Arabidopsis thaliana: one gene and its partners. The protein of the gene in region 2 interacts with the protein of the main gene of each other region in a pairwise test. Each region holds a gene or a part of one and is shown on either strand. Other genes may lie near its edges.

What was found.
Region 1: the proteins of AT4G08520 (region 2) and AT1G15810 interact in a two-hybrid assay, tested with the Arabidopsis thaliana proteins (one large-scale study listed by BioGRID).
Region 3: the proteins of AT4G08520 (region 2) and AT3G05640 interact in a two-hybrid assay, tested with the Arabidopsis thaliana proteins (one large-scale study listed by BioGRID).
Region 4: the proteins of AT4G08520 (region 2) and SHM3 interact in a two-hybrid assay, tested with the Arabidopsis thaliana proteins (one large-scale study listed by BioGRID).

Annotation. Positions count from the first base shown.
Region 1 is NC_003070.9:5,442,262-5,447,071, forward strand, and holds AT1G15810 (S15/NS1, RNA-binding protein), read left to right. Parts: upstream 1-1,958; 5' UTR 1,959-2,234; coding exon 2,235-3,102; exon of another isoform or gene 3,103-3,264; coding exon 3,265-3,347; exon of another isoform or gene 3,348-3,497; coding exon 3,498-3,609; intron 3,610-3,718; coding exon 3,719-3,771; intron 3,772-3,866; coding exon 3,867-4,010; 3' UTR 4,011-4,303; downstream 4,304-4,810. Other genes in the region: AT1G15800 (uncharacterized protein), read right to left, coding at 988-1,323; LHCB6 (light harvesting complex photosystem II subunit 6), read right to left, coding at 4,424-4,810.
Region 2 is NC_003075.7:5,415,605-5,421,169, reverse strand, and holds AT4G08520 (SNARE-like superfamily protein), read right to left. Parts: upstream 3,962-5,565; 5' UTR 3,782-3,961; intron 3,305-3,781; 5' UTR 3,284-3,304; coding exon 3,269-3,283; intron 2,428-3,268; coding exon 2,268-2,427; intron 2,063-2,267; coding exon 1,915-2,062; intron 1,828-1,914; coding exon 1,750-1,827; intron 1,118-1,749; coding exon 1,033-1,117; intron 935-1,032; coding exon 875-934; 3' UTR 531-874; downstream 1-530. UniProt on the Arabidopsis thaliana protein: The coatomer is a cytosolic protein complex that binds to dilysine motifs and reversibly associates with Golgi non-clathrin-coated vesicles, which further mediate biosynthetic protein transport from the ER, via the Golgi up to the trans Golgi network.
Region 3 is NC_003074.8:1,639,819-1,644,936, reverse strand, and holds AT3G05640 (Protein phosphatase 2C family protein), read left to right. Parts: upstream 1-1,683; 5' UTR 1,684-2,088; intron 2,089-2,671; 5' UTR 2,672-2,709; coding exon 2,710-2,958; intron 2,959-3,231; coding exon 3,232-3,525; intron 3,526-3,618; coding exon 3,619-3,736; intron 3,737-3,835; coding exon 3,836-4,059; intron 4,060-4,135; coding exon 4,136-4,327; 3' UTR 4,328-4,587; downstream 4,588-5,118. Other genes in the region: PLDP2 (phospholipase D P2), read right to left, coding at 4,832-5,066.
Region 4 is NC_003075.7:15,688,889-15,694,933, reverse strand, and holds SHM3 (serine hydroxymethyltransferase 3), read left to right. Parts: upstream 1-1,944; 5' UTR 1,945-2,218; intron 2,219-2,585; 5' UTR 2,586-2,599; coding exon 2,600-2,816; intron 2,817-2,929; coding exon 2,930-3,125; intron 3,126-3,213; coding exon 3,214-3,388; intron 3,389-3,472; coding exon 3,473-3,590; intron 3,591-3,669; coding exon 3,670-3,782; intron 3,783-3,894; coding exon 3,895-4,017; intron 4,018-4,114; coding exon 4,115-4,219; intron 4,220-4,305; coding exon 4,306-4,392; intron 4,393-4,485; coding exon 4,486-4,593; intron 4,594-4,700; coding exon 4,701-4,773; intron 4,774-5,017; coding exon 5,018-5,292; 3' UTR 5,293-5,498; downstream 5,499-6,045. Other genes in the region: AT4G32535 (uncharacterized protein), read right to left, coding at 318-426, 532-630, 690-766; AT4G32530 (ATPase, F0/V0 complex, subunit C protein), read left to right, coding at 1-103, 188-265, 1,109-1,535. UniProt on the Arabidopsis thaliana protein: Catalyzes the interconversion of serine and glycine and directs the hydroxymethyl moiety of serine into the metabolic network of H4PteGlu(n)-bound one-carbon units.

The DNA of each region.
Region 1 (4,810 bases), on a different chromosome or scaffold from region 2:
TGTTGTCACGAATTATCCACATAACCACTTGTCCTTATCACGTTCTTTTAATCACAAACCCAAAACTGATGACTTTGTGGGTTCTACTTTGGTAAGATAATTCAGCTTCAACCATAGAGAAAAAGAGCTAAACCAATATGAAAGGAGTTAGTGATTTTGACCAAGAGATGCTTCGGAGAGTTTTTGACTTTCTTTTTTCCATGTCAGCCCATTATTACCTATGAGACTTATTATGTTCCACGCCGCATCTGATTACACCACAGACGCACCAAACCCCCAAACCTAATCCGCCACGAAAACGCCTCTCGACCCATAAAAGAGGCAACCCTCATTATAAGCTATTATAAATAACGCCAGACATAACTTCTCTCATTGACCCAACTACCCCTAAAACACACTGCGTGAACGGGGGTAATCTCGTCATTGAATCGGTGATGACTGGGTAATTTAACTGGCTTGAATTCAGCGAACAGTTTCAGGAACCAAGCATCGTGACGTGAAACTTGGCCACCAACACCAATCACCATCATCTCGATGTGAGGAGGCACTAGATTGCAAAAATAGGAAAAAGCAAAGAAGATAGATAGGTTTTGAGTTTCATCTATGAAGAAAAAGAACGTGATCACGTCAGAGTAACAGAGTGATATTATCGGTCAACGCTAAGTCGGAGTATAGATAGAAAGGCCAAGATGGCGTGACCGGCGAAGAAGCCGATCCCGGACTAAAATGACGTAAATGGCCTCAAGAGAAACAAATAGGCATAGAGGGGCAAAACTGGAAGTAGTTGCGGAAAACAAGGAAGACTGAGATTACGTGAAAATGGATATCAGGTAAAAAGTACGACTAGGCTTCGTTATAACCCGGTGGCTAGTCACCGTCAAAACGCCGCATCCCGAGGGGTATAGTTGTCAAACACACAGAACAGAGTAAAGCAGAAGTTTCAAAAACTGTTGAACATATAAACCAAAGGGAAATTATCGAACGAACCTTAGATCTAACGGCCTCAGACAGTTTCACAACGCCACTTGACTCCTCAAATCCATCAACGGCAGCAGCAGCACCGCCTCCACCGCCGCTAAAAGAGGTTGCGCCGCTCCATGAAAGTGGGGTCGTGGGACTAGCACGCGTATCATGATCTCCCTTCTTCCTTAACGTCGCCGCCTTGGTCCTCGGCTGACGCACGCTCCACTTCAGCTTGAGATCCGACGCGCCGCCGCTCTTCGTCTCAGGAAGTGACGGCTCGGCATGGAGGAGACAGATCAGAGCCTCCGCCACTAATGAATCATCACCCATAGCCTCGTGAATCCAGTCTCCGCCGGTCATAGTCTGAGGTTGGACCTTCCACCGAATTTAGATAGAGAGAGAGAAAGAGAAGGAGAAGAAATGGTGGCGAAAAGTGGAGAAGAAGAAAAAATCTCCCGTGGCACATTAATGGGTGGATTTTTATTATATATAACGTTTTCACACATACAGTTATTAGATTGAAAAATTATTTTTAAATCTGTCTTTTATTTTCTTTCTTGGTGAGAGTGGGACCCATGGGAATACATACGTGGCATATAGTATTTGTACTTTGTGCAATTGCAAAGGTACTAGGGTTAGCGTCTGAATACACGCGCGGTTAGTGACATCTTTATGGCTTGCGTGCCGGTTCAGTTACATCCATTACTCTTATCATATGCAGTTTCGGGATAAATTTGTGGACGTGTGAGGTCATTCTTACTTGAATCACATTTTCGTACTTCATGATTGTAGATAGATGCCATATTGCCTATGTAGGATAAAGTTTTACGAAATTAGGATTAGTTAACTTATGTATTTATATTAAGTATGCATTGAACTCGTTTTCTTTTTCTTTTTTGGCTAGGATTGAAAATTATAATTTAATGTCCATTCATACAGTATTTACTGTCCATAATACTCCAAAAATTTGAAACAAATTATCCAATTATTAAATGGTCGCTAAATTCGAAAAACCTAAGGGCTTTGTTGTGGGTACATGGGTCGAAAACAGAAAGATGAATTGGGCCTTTTCACATGTCCGTCATGTTGCAATGTAAGAATTATATCCGGTTCTTAATCAGATTTTGCCTGACCATTTCTGATTCATAACTAACCGGAAAAGTCAACAGTTCAATGCACTTAAACCGGTTCTACCTTAATCTGTTATCGTCATCACTTACACTCTCTCGCAAACACCCAAAGCCCTAAAATCCTTAGGAGCAACCAAAATCATGGCGCTTCATCTCGCCAGACGCCACCAAAGGTTACCATCAAACACATCTTTGATTCGATTTTTCTCCAATTCCTCATCGGACTCACCTCCCCAATTCACGAACGCACCGGTTGAAAAACCGTCTCAGTCACCATCTTCTCCGTCACCGTCAGACTCTTCTCCGATCTTCGACATCAAGAACACTCTGAAACTGAAATTACAGAACCAGCAGGAGCAAGGAAGGAAACCATTTGACAGATCCGATGCACAATCTCAGAATCGCGGATCGACTAGTTTCTCCCAAAACTTGGGGAAGAATCTCGCCAAGTTTCAGCGGAGATCCACCGTTCCACCTCCGAGGGATTCAGGCGGCGTACAGCCTCCGTCTTATATTTCCTTAGCGGGCCTCTATAAGCAGAGCGCTGCAACAAACTCATCGGATCCTAGAAATTCGAAAGCTCAGGGTTTCAATTCAAACACTGTAAGTGAAACTTTAAAGAATTTGAGGACGCAGATTAACACTTCAAACAACATGGGGAAGAGAGGAGGGGTTTTAGGAAGTTTCAAGAGCACTGTAGGTGAAGCATTGCCAAAATACCTGTTCGAAACACAAATGGATGAGAGTAAGGGAAGTGAAGGTGAAACAGAGGAGGCGATGACGGAGTTCTTAATGTTTTATAACGAAGAAGAATTAGGTGAGAAACTAAGGACGCTTAGGCCAGAAGGAGAGAAAAAAGAAGGATGGTTCTCATTGGAGGAGTTGAATCAGAGATTGGTTAAGCTAAGGCAAGTTGAAGAGAAAGAGGCACAATATCGGACTAAGAACTTTGCCCAACTCAGAAATGTTATTTCATCATTTAAGAATGAGAATTCTGAAGCTAGTTCCCGTACGTTCTGAGCCTCTCATTACTCTCTCTCTCTCTCTGTGTCTAATCTTTGCGAATTTTAATTGGTTGTCTTTGCTTAGGACTCGAGGTGTTGAGATCTTGGTTTGATTTTTGTTGTTGAAATGATGTTTATGTGATATAACGAGGTTTCTTTGCTTGCAGAGCAGAATGTCGCCATTATGGGCCATCTCGGTGGTATCCCTGAATACAAGCTTCTTCCTCCAAAAGAGGATCTAGTTGACACTGTAAGCTTTTCGCTCTTAGACTTTAGAGCTAGTAGCTTGTCACTTTAATTAGTCATGAACCAAAAGGCTTATATGATAGTTTCTACAATTCTGTGTTGATCTGTTGTGACAATGGGTATTGATCTGTTTTGTTTGACTGCATCAACAAAGTATTTCCACCCAGATAACATGTCCTCTGCGGAGAAGATGAAAATTGAGCTCTCGAAAGTCAGGGAAGAGTTCAAGATGTCAGAATCAGACTGTGGTTCTGCACGTGTGCAAGGTAAACTCTACATAAGGCCAGTGGTCTGATCAATGTTGACTTTAGCCATTTAAAGGTTTACACGTTCTAAGATAGATTGTCTTGTGATGTCTCTGGTCTCTCCTTACAGTGGCACAACTCACTACTAAGATCAAGCATTTATCCTCAAGTTTGCACAAAAAGGTAAAACTTCAAACTGTTTTCGATATTTTTGTGAAGCTATCCATCCCAGTTTCTTGTGGAACCTTATGTCATACCTGTTGGTGGCTGTACCGTAGGACAAGCATTCGCGGAAGGGACTTTTAGGAATGGTGCAGAAACGGAAGAAACTGTTGAAATATCTAAGACGAACTGACTGGGATTCTTACTGCCTTGTCCTGTCAAAACTCAGCCTTCGTGACAACCCGGATTACAAGTGCTAAGCTTTATTGCACTAGAGACCCGATGATGGTATCTGTGCACTCTTTTGGTTCAACCAACTTACTGTTGTGAGTGAGACTTAGCTGTTCAAACCCTGTTAGGCATTTTCCACTCTAGGGAAGAAAGTCGCTCTATTCTATTTTGTCCTCTTACTCCAGTGTTTCAGCTGGAGCTCTTCAATCATGCATTTGTGGCAAAGAAATGAAGTTGTGGATCTCTTTCATTGATGTTTAGTATTCCCTTTCACATTTGAGTTGTGATAATAAAGTTATCTACGAACAAGCCTCATGATTTCATTTTACATTTATAGCAATGGTTTGATGATCTTTTCCCAAATGTCACATTGAAGAAGAGAAACATTAGGTTTTTGGAAGAGAAATTGTATCTACAGAATCAAAAACATCATGCCGTTTTCTCACAAACCAAGAGCACCGAGAGGCGTTTTCCCCTGCCCGGCCTCAAAGTAAAAGATCAACATGGCAACCATTGCGAGCCTCGAGTGCTTAATCTCTGCCAATTTCAGCCTCTCCAGCTTCTCAAAGTCCGGCTCATAAACACCGTCGCGGTTTTTCCCGGCGAGACCCAACGGATCGAAGAATCTCCCACCGGGGTATCCCTGATCGCCGGTATAGTTCGCGAAATTCTCGGCGGTCTTCGACCATGGCGTTGCCCACTCAACCGATTGAGAATCCGGGTTGAAGAAATCGACCCATCGTTTGCTCTCCACCCAACCCATGAGAAGCAATTGGGTTCCAAGAAGCGACCCGAACGAGAAGGGAGCGATCGCGTCTGGCTGGGCTCC
Region 2 (5,565 bases):
TAGTCAAAAGATAGCTAAGAGATTTTGACCCAAAAAAATAAAAGATAGCTAAAGACTAAGAGATATGGCAAAAAATTTGTGAGCAAATATAAATTGGAGATTACTTTACTAGAACCAATTATAAAAAAGGTGTAGCACAAACTTTTCATATAAGAAGTAGGGCCGGGCAAAATATTTGTTCGATCAGTTTCGATTCGATATTCAATTTAATTCGATTCAAAAAATCCGAATATCCGTAAGATTTAAAACCAAAACAAATAGAAAAATAAAGTATTCATAAAAATCGAAGCAAATAATAAATATTATTTTTTTAAAAATCGAATATCCGCTTCTATTACGACATTCGCACTTTACGGGACTTTCTATAACTTGCATCCGCATTGATCTAAGTTGATAGACCATATTGTAAAACATTCTTTATACGATTCTCAATGTGCGTTTTTTTTTATAGAAATTCGGATTGCATCTCTCAGATTTTGGTCTTTCCTTAACCAATTTCGAACCACTGTCAACTGCTTTCTTCAGATGGATTGACGTCTAAACGGTAAACCGTTCTTTATTTCCACTTTGATTGGGCCACTGAACGACTTAGCTTATGAGAGATTTCCCATCTTAAATCGCAACACTTAAGATCAACCGTCTTAGATATGTAAAGCAATCAATCACTAGTGCAATGTTGATCCTCACATTTAAAAAGATGGTTCCGCAAGAACAGGCGAATAAAAGATCTAAGTTCCACCAAAAAACCATAAGAAAACAAAGTCATGAGATAGTTAAGTCAATAGGGGTTGATTTCTAGTGAACGGGTAACCATTTCAGATATGGTTGGTTACAAGGGCTTATGAATATATCATTTCGCTCCCACGATGAAAATTTATGTAAGAAGACTTCTCGCAAGGTGCTCCCGAGCTGTTGCCAATGCTTGAGTTAATGTCTACAATACAAAATCCAAAAAATGGTCAACCGCATGATTGATATAAAGATTATCGCTTTGCTCGAAGGTAGTTTAGTAGTAGTCATATTGCGTCTCACCTGTTCAGAGAGTGAACCACTTGCTTCTGCGCTTTGCATTGCTACTTTCCCCGCAATAACATTCGCGTCTGTTTCAAGTACCATCCTGAACAAGTTTCATAAGACAATACAAAGATGAGTATCACAGTGATAGGGATTCAAAACAGTTAAACTTCTTTATCTAGTTACTAAAGAATTACACTTTCGAGAGACTTCATTAGCGAGAAAAGTCTCTACACTCTCAACCAATGCCCAAACCAAAACCCTCAACAAATCCAAAATGCCCCTAATGAATTCTCTAAGCTGTCTTTTAAGTCTTCAGCTATCAACTAACGGACGTAAGGTCTGTTCCTGAATTGGCAAAGCTACATATCCCATAACCCCCCCTTAGGCTAGTTGCAAATATTCTGCACTAGACTTAACAAGAACGCTTCAACACACGGCCAGAAGTTGTTCATCAATGATCAAACAATAAGTTCTCATAGTATCTAAGTACCAGATCTCACTATGTCCGTATTTAGCTCAACTCCATCAGCATATTAGAAAGCTAATTGTTAAGATATGAAGAGCAAGCTAAACTCAGCAATCTTTTAACTCTACACACCCATGTTTAAGAGTTGCAATAGATTTCCGAACTCAGTAATCTTTTAACTCTTGTGCAAGGCTAAAATGATAGATTTCCGAATTTAACATAGTAAAAAAATCGTAGAATAGTATTTGAAAGCATATGTAGCATACCCTTGATCAACCATCTCATCAAGGCACAAAAAGATGAGATCCAAGTTTTCAAGGGCTTCCATCTTTTCAACATTGTTCCTGTAAGGAGAAAGGATGTTCAACTTTAATTTCGTATATCACTGATCAAGAAAGGCACATAGTCATTTGTTAAGGTGGGTTAAATACCTCAGAAGTAACGCAACAGCATCAAAAAAGCCTTGAAGAACAGATGATAAGACGAGCTCGTTTTCATTTTCACCTCCAGTAACAAAGAAATGCAGGTCCTGGGCAAACTTATAGACAACAATATTACTCTCCAACAGTGTGATCTCAGCTGCAAAAAGTAAACATAAAAAAAAAAAATTATACACACCTACAAGTTGTTTGAAACAGGAAATATGCACATATGTAATCAGGAAACCCAATAGACAGCCAACAAGTAAAATATAATCTGAAGCTTTCATACTCCTATGATACAACAAACAGAGAACTACATATATAAATACTGTACATGTGTTGAAGTTTCAATTTGATCTTACCTTCTGTGCGAGCATTGGTCTTGGAGGTTTTCGAGAAGACATATTTTTCAAAAGCTAACTTGGAAGCATTAGTTGCCCAATCATCGGAGTAATACTTGACAGCCACACGCTTTCCTTCAGAGTCTAGAAGAAGAATGTTCTTTACCAAAGGACAAGAATCCTATTCATTGTAGACCAGATAGTCAGCATGTAAGTACTAAGAGAGAGAAGCACAAGCAGAAGCGAGAATCCTTAAAATGGATCATGTAAGTTTGAACTTCTACAACAGCAAAGTAGATAAAGATCACCAGTCCAACTATCACCAATCATATGGACAATTACACAGGGTCCAAAGCCTAAGTTTCTTGAGTATTTGTTGCCACCAATCAAACTAAAAAGCTAAATCAGCTACTCAATACTCATCATCTATGGCTTGACCAGATAGGCCAATCAAACCTATGGTGCTAAATGCTAATACATAAATTTGCTAAAAACACTTAGGACAAAAGATAATACAAGCTTTAGTTAAATTCAACCTGGCCAACAAAAGGACATACAAAAACATGACACACCAGACAAATGGCAGCTCCAACAGATAGAATCCAAATTATTTTGCATCAACAAACAAATGATGATATTGCACAAAAGCAGATTCATAAGCAATTGGAATTTTCTCAGCAGCAAAAGAACGTTTACAAAAATCTACCAGAACTTATGTTACTTAGACAGTAACAAAGCCTAATTATGCTTCCAGATTGAAAGATGCAAACAATCTTAGAACAATAGGGGCATGAACCTAAGATTCGTCACACCTTCTGAAAACATACTTACCCACTCAACAAACAAAACAAGAAAAAATCAATCTTAACATAGTGATCTTATACACAAACAGAGGAGATTATATTACACCACAATGCAAAGAATCTCATAAGTGTAACAAACCATAAAGCATCACAAGACTATTTACAGACAACAATATAATGATTCTTAACAGTATACAATGAGCTTAGAGATGTACTTACATTAGTCCCTGCCATTGTTTTTGATTCAAAATATACCTGAAAATAGTGATAAATTAAGTGTTATAACCACACACTACAAACACACAGAACAAAAACTGAGAAATCTATCTAATACATTTAGTCTAAGAAACAAAACTAGCACTGAATACACCAAGATCTAAGAAGAGAGTACTAGATCATCAGGGAAGATCTTAAAATTAAGGTTTCTACATAACCTCTAAGTCAAATTTCGATTCTCAATCTGAAAAACTTAACGATCAGATCTCTTACTGAAGCTATGAGAATGATAGATCATAATGGCAAATTGAAAACAATTAAAAACTTAGAAATCTACAGAGCCAAACAAAAATCTCATCAAAACTGTGAACGATAACAGAAAATATTTTATTCAGATCTCTAGAGAATGTCAATGGATCTTTCATCGATCTGACGAAATTAGAACGTAAATCATACGAATCTCGATAGGGATGAAGAAGCAATCAAACGGAGAAGACAAACTCGAGAAACTTTTACCTTTGAGATGGCTTTTTGAGCTGAAGAAGATGAGAGCTTGCGACGATGGTATGGAACTAACTGTTAAAGAAGACGCGAAGGTCTGATTATATTTTAGAATGAGTAGTCGGGATTCGGGAATATTGCAAATTAAACCCCAACATTTGAAATTATACAAACAAACCCAACATTTGAAAATCAGGAAACTCAAACTTAATTGTATAGTCTCCCGTTTACGCAAAATTAAATTAATAATAATATAACAAAATATGGTAAATTTCTCAGATAAATTCATCAAGGAGTATTTTGTAATTAATGTGTAGTTGGAAAAACAATATAATACTAAAATTTCAAAAAATAAAGATAATTATGTGAAAAGTTGTCTCTAACAAAAAAATGGAAAAACTTGTATATTTATATGAGAAGGATTGTAAATATTTTCGAAGATAAATTATAAATTACTTCTTCACCTCAAAATTTACTTGTTGAGGTCGTAAAGTCCGGATACATTGAGTTTGTAGAAATTCTACTTCGTTCGTGTCTCGACCTGCTATTGGAAGTTGATGATAACAATCAAAATCTATTTCATATTACTGCTTCAAATCGCCATGCAAACATTTTCAACAAAAATTATGATCCCCGAGCTAGGTAGGATTTGATAGTTTTGTATAAAGGCCCACTCCAAAATAATATTTTCCTTGTAAATGTTTACCATCTTCGGATCGGTTACAACAACACTTCAGATGCAAAGAGAACTACTATGGTCCGAGGTACAAAAAGCACAATTTATATGAAAAAGATTGTATAAATTTTAGTTCATATATTTAATTTTTTATATATTTTTTAAGTTTCAGATTTTAATAATAATTTAGGAAAGAATAATTTTCCAAATATAGAATAAATCTTTATATAAAGATACCTAAAAATGTTGAAATATGATAACTTGTCTCTAACAAAAAATCGAAAAATTGGCATATCCTTAAAATATGTAATAAAATTAAAATTAGATCTAAGAGATGGGAGGTATACATTTTATTTCACTTTTGAAATATTTTTTTTGTTAAATACTAATTTTGGAACCTTTGGTAGACAGTTATACCATAATCATTTATAGATAAGAATGGAAATTATATTTGTGCCATCTATGCACTAAATATTATAATCGCCATTAACTTGAGAGTCTTGACCAGAGTCCTTGCAATATTAAGAAAGTTCAGTTCAAATAACAGACACATAATTTGTTGTGGAGAATCATAAAACTAATTCATTCATACCTCAAGTGCTTTATCAAAATCATCTAGCTTATTGATCCAGAGTGCTTCTGGCTTTCAGAGTTGATAGTACCCAGTCTTTTATTCACGTAATCTAATTATGCCTTTAATGCATCTATTTTGAAGGATCTCTAATCATCGAGATAAGATCCTCTGGGACGTAGTCATAGCTTCTTGATGAGTTCACTGTCTTGCCATATTTTTAAAAACCATTCTTTTCCAAGACCACATCAAGATCGGGACTGATGTTTATTTCTCCATTGAGAACTCTTTGGACAATTGCTAATTTGGACTCTAACTTATTCCGCTCAAAAGTTAAAATATCCACCATATAATCATGTGTATTAGGAGTAAGATTAGTTACTAAAACAAGACCATTGCCTTAATAACTAAAACAAGACCCATAGTGTCTGATTTACATACCTTCCTTTCACCACACCATTTTAGCCTCTCTTCCTTAAAATCTTGAAGGACCAAAAAACTGATATTAATATTAATTAAGTGATAACTAATTATTTATAGAGAGGAAACAAA
Region 3 (5,118 bases), on a different chromosome or scaffold from region 2:
TGATCCAAATCTTAGGAAGATAATGCGCAATTAATTGAATTTTCAACCAAAAAATGGACAAAAAGACTATCGCCTTGTAATGATTGCAATTATGATGCTTCTAGTCTTCTAGATACTGTATCAAGTATCAACTGGATAATAAACTATTTATCATTTTCTTACAACTAACAACCAATTAAAAGCCACTCAACATACTAACATTTCCATAGTCCACTCCAATGATTATTGATTATTATGATTAAGATCAGATGATGTTCTCTATGGATTAAAAAAAAAAAACTAGCAATAAAATAACAAGAAAAATGGTCATGTTGGGACTGGGTGGGAGTGGAACGAGAGGCCACGGCACACAAAGTCACAAAGAAAGTGTCATTATCCGGTGCACCGTCCCACATGCGATTGCTGGTAACCACGCGTCAATCAGACGAATGGCATGATCCTTTTTTAGATTGTGCTCGCTAACATGGACCCTACAAGGACCGAACTAATCAATGTGGTTCTCACGTGCCTCTTTTGCCAATTTTAACTTTTCTAACGAAAAAAATATTACTCTGAAACCTCCACATTCAATTGTGATATGACCGGCGTCTGGCCCTCAAACCGAAAGGCTCTCCTCTGAATCCTTTGTTGCTCTGTCCCACGTGCCAGAAATATCATCTTAAATATGGTGGTCTTTCGCAACCCTGAATGGCATTTGTGGTAATTAGTTCTAAATTACGTGAGACAATGCAAAGATTTTGTTTTGCACCATCGTTGCCGACCACATCAAACAGGTCATCGCTCTGGGTCCACTCACCGCTAGTCCGCTATACACTTGTGGGAAAAGGCTTCTTGTAGTACAGTTTCGTCACGGCGTCTTATTAATTGCAAATCTGTGACGTTACGGTTTTCGATTCGGGTTACTATTTTAATGGAAATCTTTTGATAATAGCTAGAGCCTAGAGTATGTAACCCTAAGGTTAGATGGTAATACCGAATCTACCTAAATTTTTGTTATTTTCGGTTTTTCATGAGATATATAGACTGCGTAATTTAAAATCTCAAAATTTGGTTTCACTTTATTTTTATTTTTTTTTAGTTTCGAGGTAGGTATACAAGCATGGACCTTTTGACATTATTTAAAATTTTCATAATTTAGAATCTTCATGTTAAACGTGTATGGCTACGATCTTCGGAACTTTATTCGGTTTGTATGCTCAAAGGCCAACGCCATTTATTTTCTAATTGATTTTTTCCCGTTACGGAAACAATCTTTTTGCATTATTGAACTTAATTACCAAAGTTTATGAAAAGAAACAATAAAGTCTAAATTGGCCTATTTTGATATACTGATCACTTACGCGAAAACATCTACATTGTTATCTACTAGACTAGTCATTAACTCGAAGATAGAATTTCATTTCTTGACCAAAAAAAAACTCAAAAGATAGTTATAATCACAGATTCATTATTGACTTTTGCTTTTAACACTGTAGCCATTTATGTACTATTTATACAAATACCTAACTTTTCAAATTTGTGATATTTTTCACCCTACATTTTAGCCTATAGGTTGGATCATTTTGTCATATTGCATCACTGTTTACTAGTACCAAACTTAAATATCACACGAGCAGTAAATTTGCTATCAATTTTTTCGTTTTCACAAACATATATCTAGTTTCCCTAACCAATAATTAAGTTAAATTGCATTAGGAATTTAGGATTTATAATAAATAGATATATAACCCACTAACGACAAAAGACTATGTCTTGCTACGTCTCTGCCTTTATTATCATGCCACAAGAAAATAAGAGGGGAACAGAGGGAGAACCCCATAAATAAATAAATTTAGAGAAATATCTAAGTTTGGTTCTTCCCTGTGTCTACCCACCGTGATCATCATAAAATGGATTGTGATTTCTGATTTGTGAGTCTATCTTTCTCTACTCCATTAGCTTCCTCTCCCTTGGATGGTTACGTCACTTTCTCCGAGCTTACGTCATCTATATCCGGTCTTCACTTCTTTTTCCTTCCATTCCTCAGCAGCATTGCGTAATCTATCTGGTGTGTGTGTATCACGTCACTTCCTCCTAGTCCCTCTCTCTGTACGTTCTTGTTGTGAAATTGATTTACTTTTTGAAAACATTTTTGGTGCAATTCAACAATATTTGTTTCACAGTTCTTATTTTATTTTTGTAGATTAAAAAGCTTAAATTTCAAAAACAAGAAAATCTTGTTTTCACAAAAATTAGGCAAAGGGTTTCCAATTTCCAGATTGTTTAACTTGATTTTCAATTTCCAATTTCCGAATCTTGCAACTTGATTTCTATAATGATAAGTTATCTCCAAATATGTTTTCTTAAAAGAGAAAACTCGATTTGACTTCAAGTTGAGATCATATCCATTATTATTCTCTATATTACGTACAAGTTATTATATATTTTATAACTCTAGAGGAATGTTAGAGCTTGTGTTAATGGAATTCCAAGTCAGATATGAATATTCTCTTATAATCATTATTGTCCTTATAACTGTTTTAAATACCTCAAATTTATATTTTATCCCCTGTTTTTTTCCCGGGAAAACGAATCTCAAAAAACGAATTTCCTACTTTGACATTATTTTATCTCCCTCTTGCTCTTTGATATAATGCAACTATCTGAAACTCTATGAATTTATCATTTACAGAGTTCAAGATCATATGATATTTTCACTTTCTGGACAAAATGGGACATTTCTCTTCCATGTTCAACGGTATAGCTAGATCCTTCTCGATCAAGAAAGCGAAGAACATCAACAGCAGCAAAAGCTACGCTAAGGAAGCCACAGATGAAATGGCGAGAGAGGCGAAGAAGAAGGAACTTATTTTGAGATCCTCTGGTTGCATTAATGCAGATGGATCTAATAACTTGGCTTCTGTTTTCTCTAGACGCGGTGAGAAAGGCGTTAATCAGGACTGTGCCATCGTCTGGGAGGTACATTACTTCTACAAAAAGTTATCTTAGAGCTGGGTTATTTGGAACTTTTGCAGTCTTTGGCGTTTACTTAGCACAATTCGCTTCGTGTGCGTGTGCCTCTAGCTTGTTTTGGATGCTCCTCTGTATCTAGGGTTATTATCACCAGTCCAAAGATCTTAAGTTTAACGCATTATATGCTTCTACCGTTGATTTTAAGTTATCCGATATTACGGTCTTTAAACACTGATTTGCGAATATTTGTTCATCATGTTTTGACAATTTCTGAAACAGGGATATGGGTGTCAAGAAGACATGATATTCTGTGGGATATTCGATGGACATGGTCCCTGGGGACACTTTGTTTCTAAACAAGTCAGAAACTCAATGCCTATATCTTTGCTCTGTAACTGGAAAGAGACTCTTTCTCAGACCACAATAGCAGAACCCGATAAAGAGCTACAGCGGTTTGCAATCTGGAAATACTCATTCCTCAAAACCTGTGAAGCTGTTGATCTGGAGCTTGAGCATCACCGAAAGATAGATTCTTTCAACAGCGGTACGACCGCTCTAACCATTGTGAGACAGGTAAATGGAGCATCAGATTCATTACCTCATATGAAGAAAATCTTGTAAAAAGGCTACTCTGTTCATTAATCCTTAAGTGGTTTCTTGCTACAGGGTGATGTTATTTATATAGCAAACGTCGGGGATTCACGTGCGGTATTGGCCACAGTTTCAGACGAAGGAAGCTTGGTCGCGGTTCAGCTCACCGTAGATTTCAAGCCAAACCTGCCTCGTTAGTTCCATAAGCATAAATAAATCATGTAAATCTCAGTGCATTTAGCTAAGCAGTTCTGAATCTTTATCTTTCAAATTTTGTTTCTTATTAAAACAGAGGAGGAAGAGCGGATAATCGGATGCAACGGGAGAGTATTTTGCCTTCAAGATGAGCCAGGGGTCCACCGTGTATGGCAACCAGTAGATGAATCTCCGGGGCTCGCAATGTCAAGAGCATTCGGAGACTATTGTATCAAAGATTACGGATTGGTCTCAGTGCCTGAAGTCACTCAGAGGCATATATCCATTAGAGACCAGTTTATAATCTTGGCCACTGATGGGGTAAGAACATTTGAATAAGCAACTTTGTTTTGTTAGTTTATATTGGCAGCGTAGTCATGTAATTGAAACATTATAGGTATGGGATGTGATATCAAACCAAGAGGCCATAGATATTGTTTCCTCGACGGCGGAGCGGGCAAAAGCTGCCAAGCGACTGGTACAGCAAGCAGTTAGGGCTTGGAATAGAAAGAGACGCGGAATCGCCATGGATGATATCTCTGCCGTGTGCCTCTTCTTCCATTCTTCATCGTCGTCGCCATCTCTATAGCAACATCTTCTCCATGCCACGACCTGCAAGTAGGTACTAGTACTTTTGGACCGGGCAAGAAAAGAAAAAATGCTGCAATGTAGATAGACTTGCGTAAAATCGCATTGAATATTACTTTCTTGCCAAACCAGAGTCCTATCACAATCTAAAGAACACAATTGGTTACTTGTAATTTTAATAATCATTTAAAAAGTGGGAAACTTCTTAAGTTATTATGAAACATGTGATGAGGAAACAAGCTTTTGGAACAAGAATCAAACATATATCAACTCCAAAGTTGTAAGAACATATCCGCAATTGAAGATGTATTGTACAGCTTGAGGCACATAAACATTATGATTTACAAGAAGTGTATACTATACACACACATACCTCTGCGAACCTAGGAAGCAATCAAATGAATTTCTTCTTTCTATATAACTAACATCTCTATACATAAGTAACGTGTGAGCTTAGGTACTCTATTAACTGATTAAAGAGAACTGGGCGTACAATAAATAGTGGTTAGTGGAAGACTTGAGGAGCAGTGTAGAACTCAGATTCGTTGAAACCTGGTCTGAGATCTTCTTGATCACACATGAACTGTAATGGGAAGCACACAAGGTTCCCTCTTGTCTCCTTCAGAATCTCCCACGAGTCGCTGCCGCATGATTCTAGCCTCTCCGGTGCAATGCCAAGGTCGATCGTAGTGTGACCCAACTTGTCTTTACAAAGAGCCATATTGTGTCTCAATGCAGCTCTGTGTTTAGAAAGACAAAGTCAGAAGCAGATTTGATCATCTCTCAGTTGCG
Region 4 (6,045 bases), about 10 Mb from region 2:
ATGCGAGCTCGTGGGGCGCAGCGCTGGTAAGGATCTCGCCGTATACTTTCTCCGCAATCGGAATCGCCATCTCGATCGGTGTCTCAGTCCTCGGTGCCGCCTGGTAAATCGAATCTTATTCTTCTTCGTCCCCGCAGATTAAAGCATTGACCTTTTTCATCATCTTTTTTTGGTTTGTCTTATTCAGGGGAATTTACATTACGGGAAGTAGTTTGATCGGTGCGGCTATAGAAGCTCCTCGTATTACTTCGAAGAATCTCATCAGGTTCGTTAAAAGTTTCAAGCTTTTTTAATTCTAGTTTTGTTCCTTTGGTTGATCAATTAGTGGCTTTAAGGAACTGTGTAGATTCCATGTCTTGTTCTGAATAGCAATGAGAATTCATCGCTGAGTAGCTTGATTCATTTGGATATTTCAATGCCACATCTCTGCAAGAGTAGATTGTCACATTATGATACAAGTTGTTGACCTGGGATTCAGGAGGTAGAAATTTAGAATTCTCAAGGACTCATCTGGTTGGTAGGGCTAGTAACTTTGGATCGTGAAGGCTCTGGCTTTGCGGATTCAAGCACTGGATGTAATGATAATGAAGTGTCTTTTGTCTTTCCACGTATTTCAGCAGAAACATATATCTACCATCGAGATAGCTAAATGTTAAATTAGGGGATATAGATTTAAAGTTTGTGTTTACGTTATTTGTGGTGCCTTCCTATTCCGCTCCTTCATTCTTGGGCCGGAGTCACTTAAGTAAACACTCAACACAGTCATTGCTATTATATCCCATGGGTCTACGGGGTAGATTTAAGGAATGCTTAACAGGGAGTAGCTGTGTATGCAATTTGATTTGTTGTTACAGAGCTACAGGCTTGGAGTTAGATGCTCTGCAACATCAGTGTCAACAGTGTCATTACCACACACCATTTCTTAACCATATTGAGTAGAGCATTTGGCTGTAAAGGCACTAGTACTTAGGAATGCTTAAGTAGGAAACAGTTGTGTTTGCATTCTACATTTTCTACTTTGTTAACACTTAACAGAGCTTTAGGCTCAAGATTAGATGCAAAAAGTATACAATGACGAAGCATTTCTTGTTCTTTTAAACTGTCCCAGTGTCATCTTTTGCGAAGCTGTTGCTATATATGGAGTTATTGTTGCAATCATACTGCAAACAAAGTTGGAGAGTGTCCCATCTTCAAAGATGTATGATGCTGAGTCTCTTAGAGCTGGATATGCAATCTTTGCATCTGGAATTATAGTTGGATTCGCCAACCTTGTATGCGGGTCTGTATCTACCCTTTTCTCCTTCCTTACAGTTTTGGTTTTTGGATTCCATTGTCAGATATGCAACCGAGGTCCACATTTCTCTTGCAGGTTATGTGTAGGAATCATTGGAAGCAGTTGTGCATTGTCCGATGCTCAGAACTCCACACTTTTTGTAAAGATTCTTGTGATCGAGATATTCGGGAGTGCTCTCGGGTTGTTTGGAGTTATTGTGGGAATTATTATGTCTGCACAAGCGACATGGCCAACGAAATAGATATATATATATCCGGTCTGTATATGTTGTGGTCTACTTGCAAATCTGGAAAAACATGGCTTCTTGATTATCTTCATTGTTATATCGTTCCAATGTCTAGACGAAAATCTTGTGTGAAAACTGAGAACCACTTTTGGATCCCCAATTTTTTGTATTTGTTTAAAACTTTTGAATAAGTCCTTTTGGAGAACATCTTCATGTTTGTATTCTCTTATAATCAAAGACAAAGAGTTTGTATATGATTTGTTAAAACTGAACTAGTCATTTTATCAAGTCTGTTTCCTCTATATACTGTAGTTATGTTTTATCTTTTTTTTTTCTTTCTCAAGTTATGATTTATCTCAAGCAATTATGTTGTTGATACAAATGGTCTTGCCTCTTTGGCCACACCCTGTGTAGTGCTGTACCCAACAAAACCAATGAAAGAATTCGATCTATACAAATTGCATACCAAGCAGAACCGTTTTGTCCTAAACCAATCATCACACTAGACGACGTCGTTTCACGTGTGATATTTAGGTGGCTGTCCCGTTCCTGGAACCCGGAGCTTTTTTTGTTGTGATATATCCCGTAAAACCCTAAACATAGTCACTTCATCGTCTCCTCCACTGTATCATTCAATCTCTGTCTTCCTTCTTTTTAGCGACCTCGTCTCCAAAGCTCACAAATTTTCTACCTTTCCGGTGAGTGTTACTCTGTTCTCGTTTCCTCGCTTGTCTCTTTCTGGGTTTTTAGTTTCCGAAAGATTTTCCTTTCAAAATCCGTTTTTGAATGCGAATTCCCTCTGCTGTATCTATTATATTTAGTAATTTGATGTATTGTTTGGTTGGTATGAGCTGATAAAGTTCAACACGTTTGTTGTTCACTTTTGGGAAAATTTGCGATAAAACAAGGATTTTTTTACAATTTTGACATATATATATATATATATATATATATATATATATATATATATTTGAGACGAGAATATTTGTTCAGATATCTACTGAGTAAAATTAGTGGTCTCTCTGTTTATTGCGTTCATGTGACATTTGGAATTTTTGAGTCTAGGAGTAGAGAGAAAGATGCAAGCTTGTTGTGGTGGTAATTCGATGGCTTCTCTTCAGCAACCTGGACGGGTTCAAGGATCTGTCTTTCCCCCAATTATGCCTCCAGTGACCAAATTTTCTCAGCAGTTGAAGTTCAATATTTCAAAACCTTTCCGTTCTTCATTTCTGAAAAGAAACCTGGTCTCTGAAATGAGAGCATCTTCAGTCTCGCTACCTAATGTCGAGATAAGCAGTAAGATAGTTTAAGTTTCATTTCCTTGATTATGTTGATGATGTGAAAGATATTTTTACTTGTTTCATGCGTGGTTTTGATTTCTTTTTACTTTTTGATGACTGAATATCTAGGCAAAGAAATCCCTTTTGAGGACTATGGTCTTGGTGAAGTTGATCCAGAGGTCCGAACCATCATCACAAAGGAGAAAGATAGACAATTCAGGAGCTTGGAGCTTATTGCATCTGAGAATTTCACGTCTCGAGCAGTTATGGAGGCGGTTGGCTCATGCCTTACCAACAAGTATTCTGAGGGACTGCCTGGTAAAAGGTAATGAAGTATGTAAGATTAGTTTTTGTGGTGCACTTCTGTCTCATCTGCTAGATTTCATAGTATTTCTGTTGTCCATGTCTCACAGATATTATGGTGGCAATGAGTACATTGATCAGTTGGAGACGCTTTGCCAGAACCGGGCTTTGGCAGCCTTCCGCTTAGATTCTACGAAATGGGGGGTTAATGTTCAGCCGTTATCTGGTTCACCTGCAAACTTTGCTGTCTACACTGCGATACTTAGCCCTCATGATCGGATCATGGTAAAGAACTTTTGCACTCTTCATCTCCGCTTTACTTGTGTGCTTGATATAGATTGAATATAATGGCTTGTTTTATACGATTAGGGTTTGGATTTACCTCACGGTGGTCATCTGTCGCATGGGTTCATGACCGCTAAAAGGCGTGTATCTGGAACTTCAATATACTTTGAGTCCATGCCTTATCGACTTGATGAATCAACAGGTAATGCATTTCTTATGAGAAGGGTCTCTGAAACTACTTTTGTATGAGGCTATTTCCTGATGTCTGAATATTTGAACAGGCATTGTTGACTACGATATGCTCGAGAAAACTGCTACACTTTTCAGACCAAAGCTTATTATCGCAGGAGCTAGTGCATACAGCCGAGATTTTGACTATCCTCGCATGAGGAAGGTAGAAACACAACCTGATCCTTGAAAACACCTTTCATGTTTCTGTCTACTTTTGGCTTTCAAATATAAATCTGTTATTTCATTTTCCTCACAATTTGTATGAATTTCTGAAGATCGCAGACTCAGTTGGTGCTTTTCTGATGATGGATATGGCTCATATCAGTGGGCTTGTGGCTGCTTCTGTGGTAGCTGACCCTTTTGAGTATTGTGATATTGTTACAACAACAACTCACAAGGTATGTATGTTCCGAAATATGAAACATGATTTCCATTTGTATTTAGACAAAAAGCGTTTCCAGATTATCTGTTAGTAACACACTTTTACCTTACTAGTCTTTGAGAGGTCCGAGAGGTGGCATGATCTTCTTCAGGAAGGATCCAATTAATGGGGTTGATCTTGAATCTGCCGTGAACAATGCTGTCTTCCCTGGTTTGCAGGTTGAGATATTCACCATTATTTTTAGCTCTCTTAGATAATTCTTCTCCCAACGTGATTAAAAGTTGTCTGAATTGTATATTTGAAGGGTGGCCCTCATAACCACACAATTGGAGGATTAGCAGTCTGCTTGAAACACGCACAATCACCGGAATTCAAGGCGTACCAGAAAAGAGTACCCACCCTTTTACTTGATCATTAAGTTCTTCTGCACCGGATAAAGTTTGTAAATTTTGCTTCTAACAAGAATCTTTTGCTGCTTGTTTAGGTTGTGTCTAACTGTAGAGCTCTAGCTAACCGATTGGTTGAACTCGGGTTTAAGCTAGTTTCTGGTGGCAGCGATAACCACTTGGTTCTCGTCGATCTTAGACCCATGGTAAGTTTACAAACTGTATTAATGGCTTGAATAAATCAACTTTTTTCTTAAACCAGAAAATCACTTATGATAATGCGGTGTCAGTCTAACATTTTTGTTGTGGTTAGGGTATGGATGGTGCGCGGGTTGAGAAAATCTTAGACATGGCATCTATTACTCTCAACAAGAACTCTGTCCCTGGTGAGTTCGTCCTCCTACTCTCGGTCTTCTTCTTCCCATTTGAAAAGTCAATTCTGAGAGAAGCCCTCTTACTCTTTTACAAAACAGAAATGAAGTCGATAAGTAGAACTTGTAGAACACAACTGTTAAAGAAATGCTTAATTGTTGTTATAGCAAAATCATCAATTGCTATATTTATATGTTTGATTCCCCTAGAGTAGTGAAATTGAGACAGTGTTGTTGTGTATGTGAAATGGTGAAACAGGGGACAAAAGTGCGTTGGTACCAGGGGGAATAAGGATAGGATCCCCCGCGATGACGACAAGAGGACTGTCAGAGAAAGACTTTGTAGTAGTGGCTGACTTCATCAAGGAAGGTGTGGAGATAACAATGGAAGCCAAGAAAGCCGCGCCGGGTTCAAAGCTTCAAGATTTCAACAAGTTCGTGACATCTCCTGAGTTTCCATTGAAAGAGAGAGTGAAGAGTCTAAAGGAGAGAGTGGAAACCTTCACATCTCGTTTTCCCATTCCTGGCGTTTAAGCTATAAACACACACAGATATGCTCTTGTTGTACCTTAATTATTCACCTTTTTCATCTGTCTTTTAGGGTTTTTACTTGCTTGTGTCCCAAGTTTAAAGTTACAGTTGAATCGAGAGAAATTATTTTCAAAAATAAATTTATTTGTGGAACAATGATTCGTCTATGTTCCCAAATCTCAATCAATATTTAGTATAATCAGTTGTTGTGAAAGAAAAAAATAATAATAATTTGAAAAATTGTTTTTAGCGAAGAGAGCAAATATTTCGCGGGATGTGGCGAATATATCTCACCCAATCTTTCTCTTTCATGCGTTTTTTTTGTTGCCTTCTCCAAATATTCATCTCTGCCTCCTCTCAGGGATAGACTCTCTCTCTCTCTCTCTTTCTTTCTAAAACTAAAACAAAAGAAAGAGAGAGATCCCAAATTCAACGATAACAGATTTTATCTGCTTTTTTTTTTTGTTTCGTTTCTTCTCCCTCGCTCCCCACCGGATTATATATCTCACCGGAAATCGGATCTCTCACGTTGGTCGATTTTTCTATTACGGCGGCGGCCATCGCTTTCTTCTTCTCCTCCAGGTGCGTGCGATCTTACTTTCTTCCTTGAGACTTTGGTTTACGCATGCACCTCTGTGTCTCTGTCTGTACGTACGTCATTGATTTCATTTCGGATTTTCTCCTTTGTTTGATCGATTTGTATAGTTAAACAACATTAATATGGAAACTCAAGTGTTTTTAGGCTTTGATTCTTCT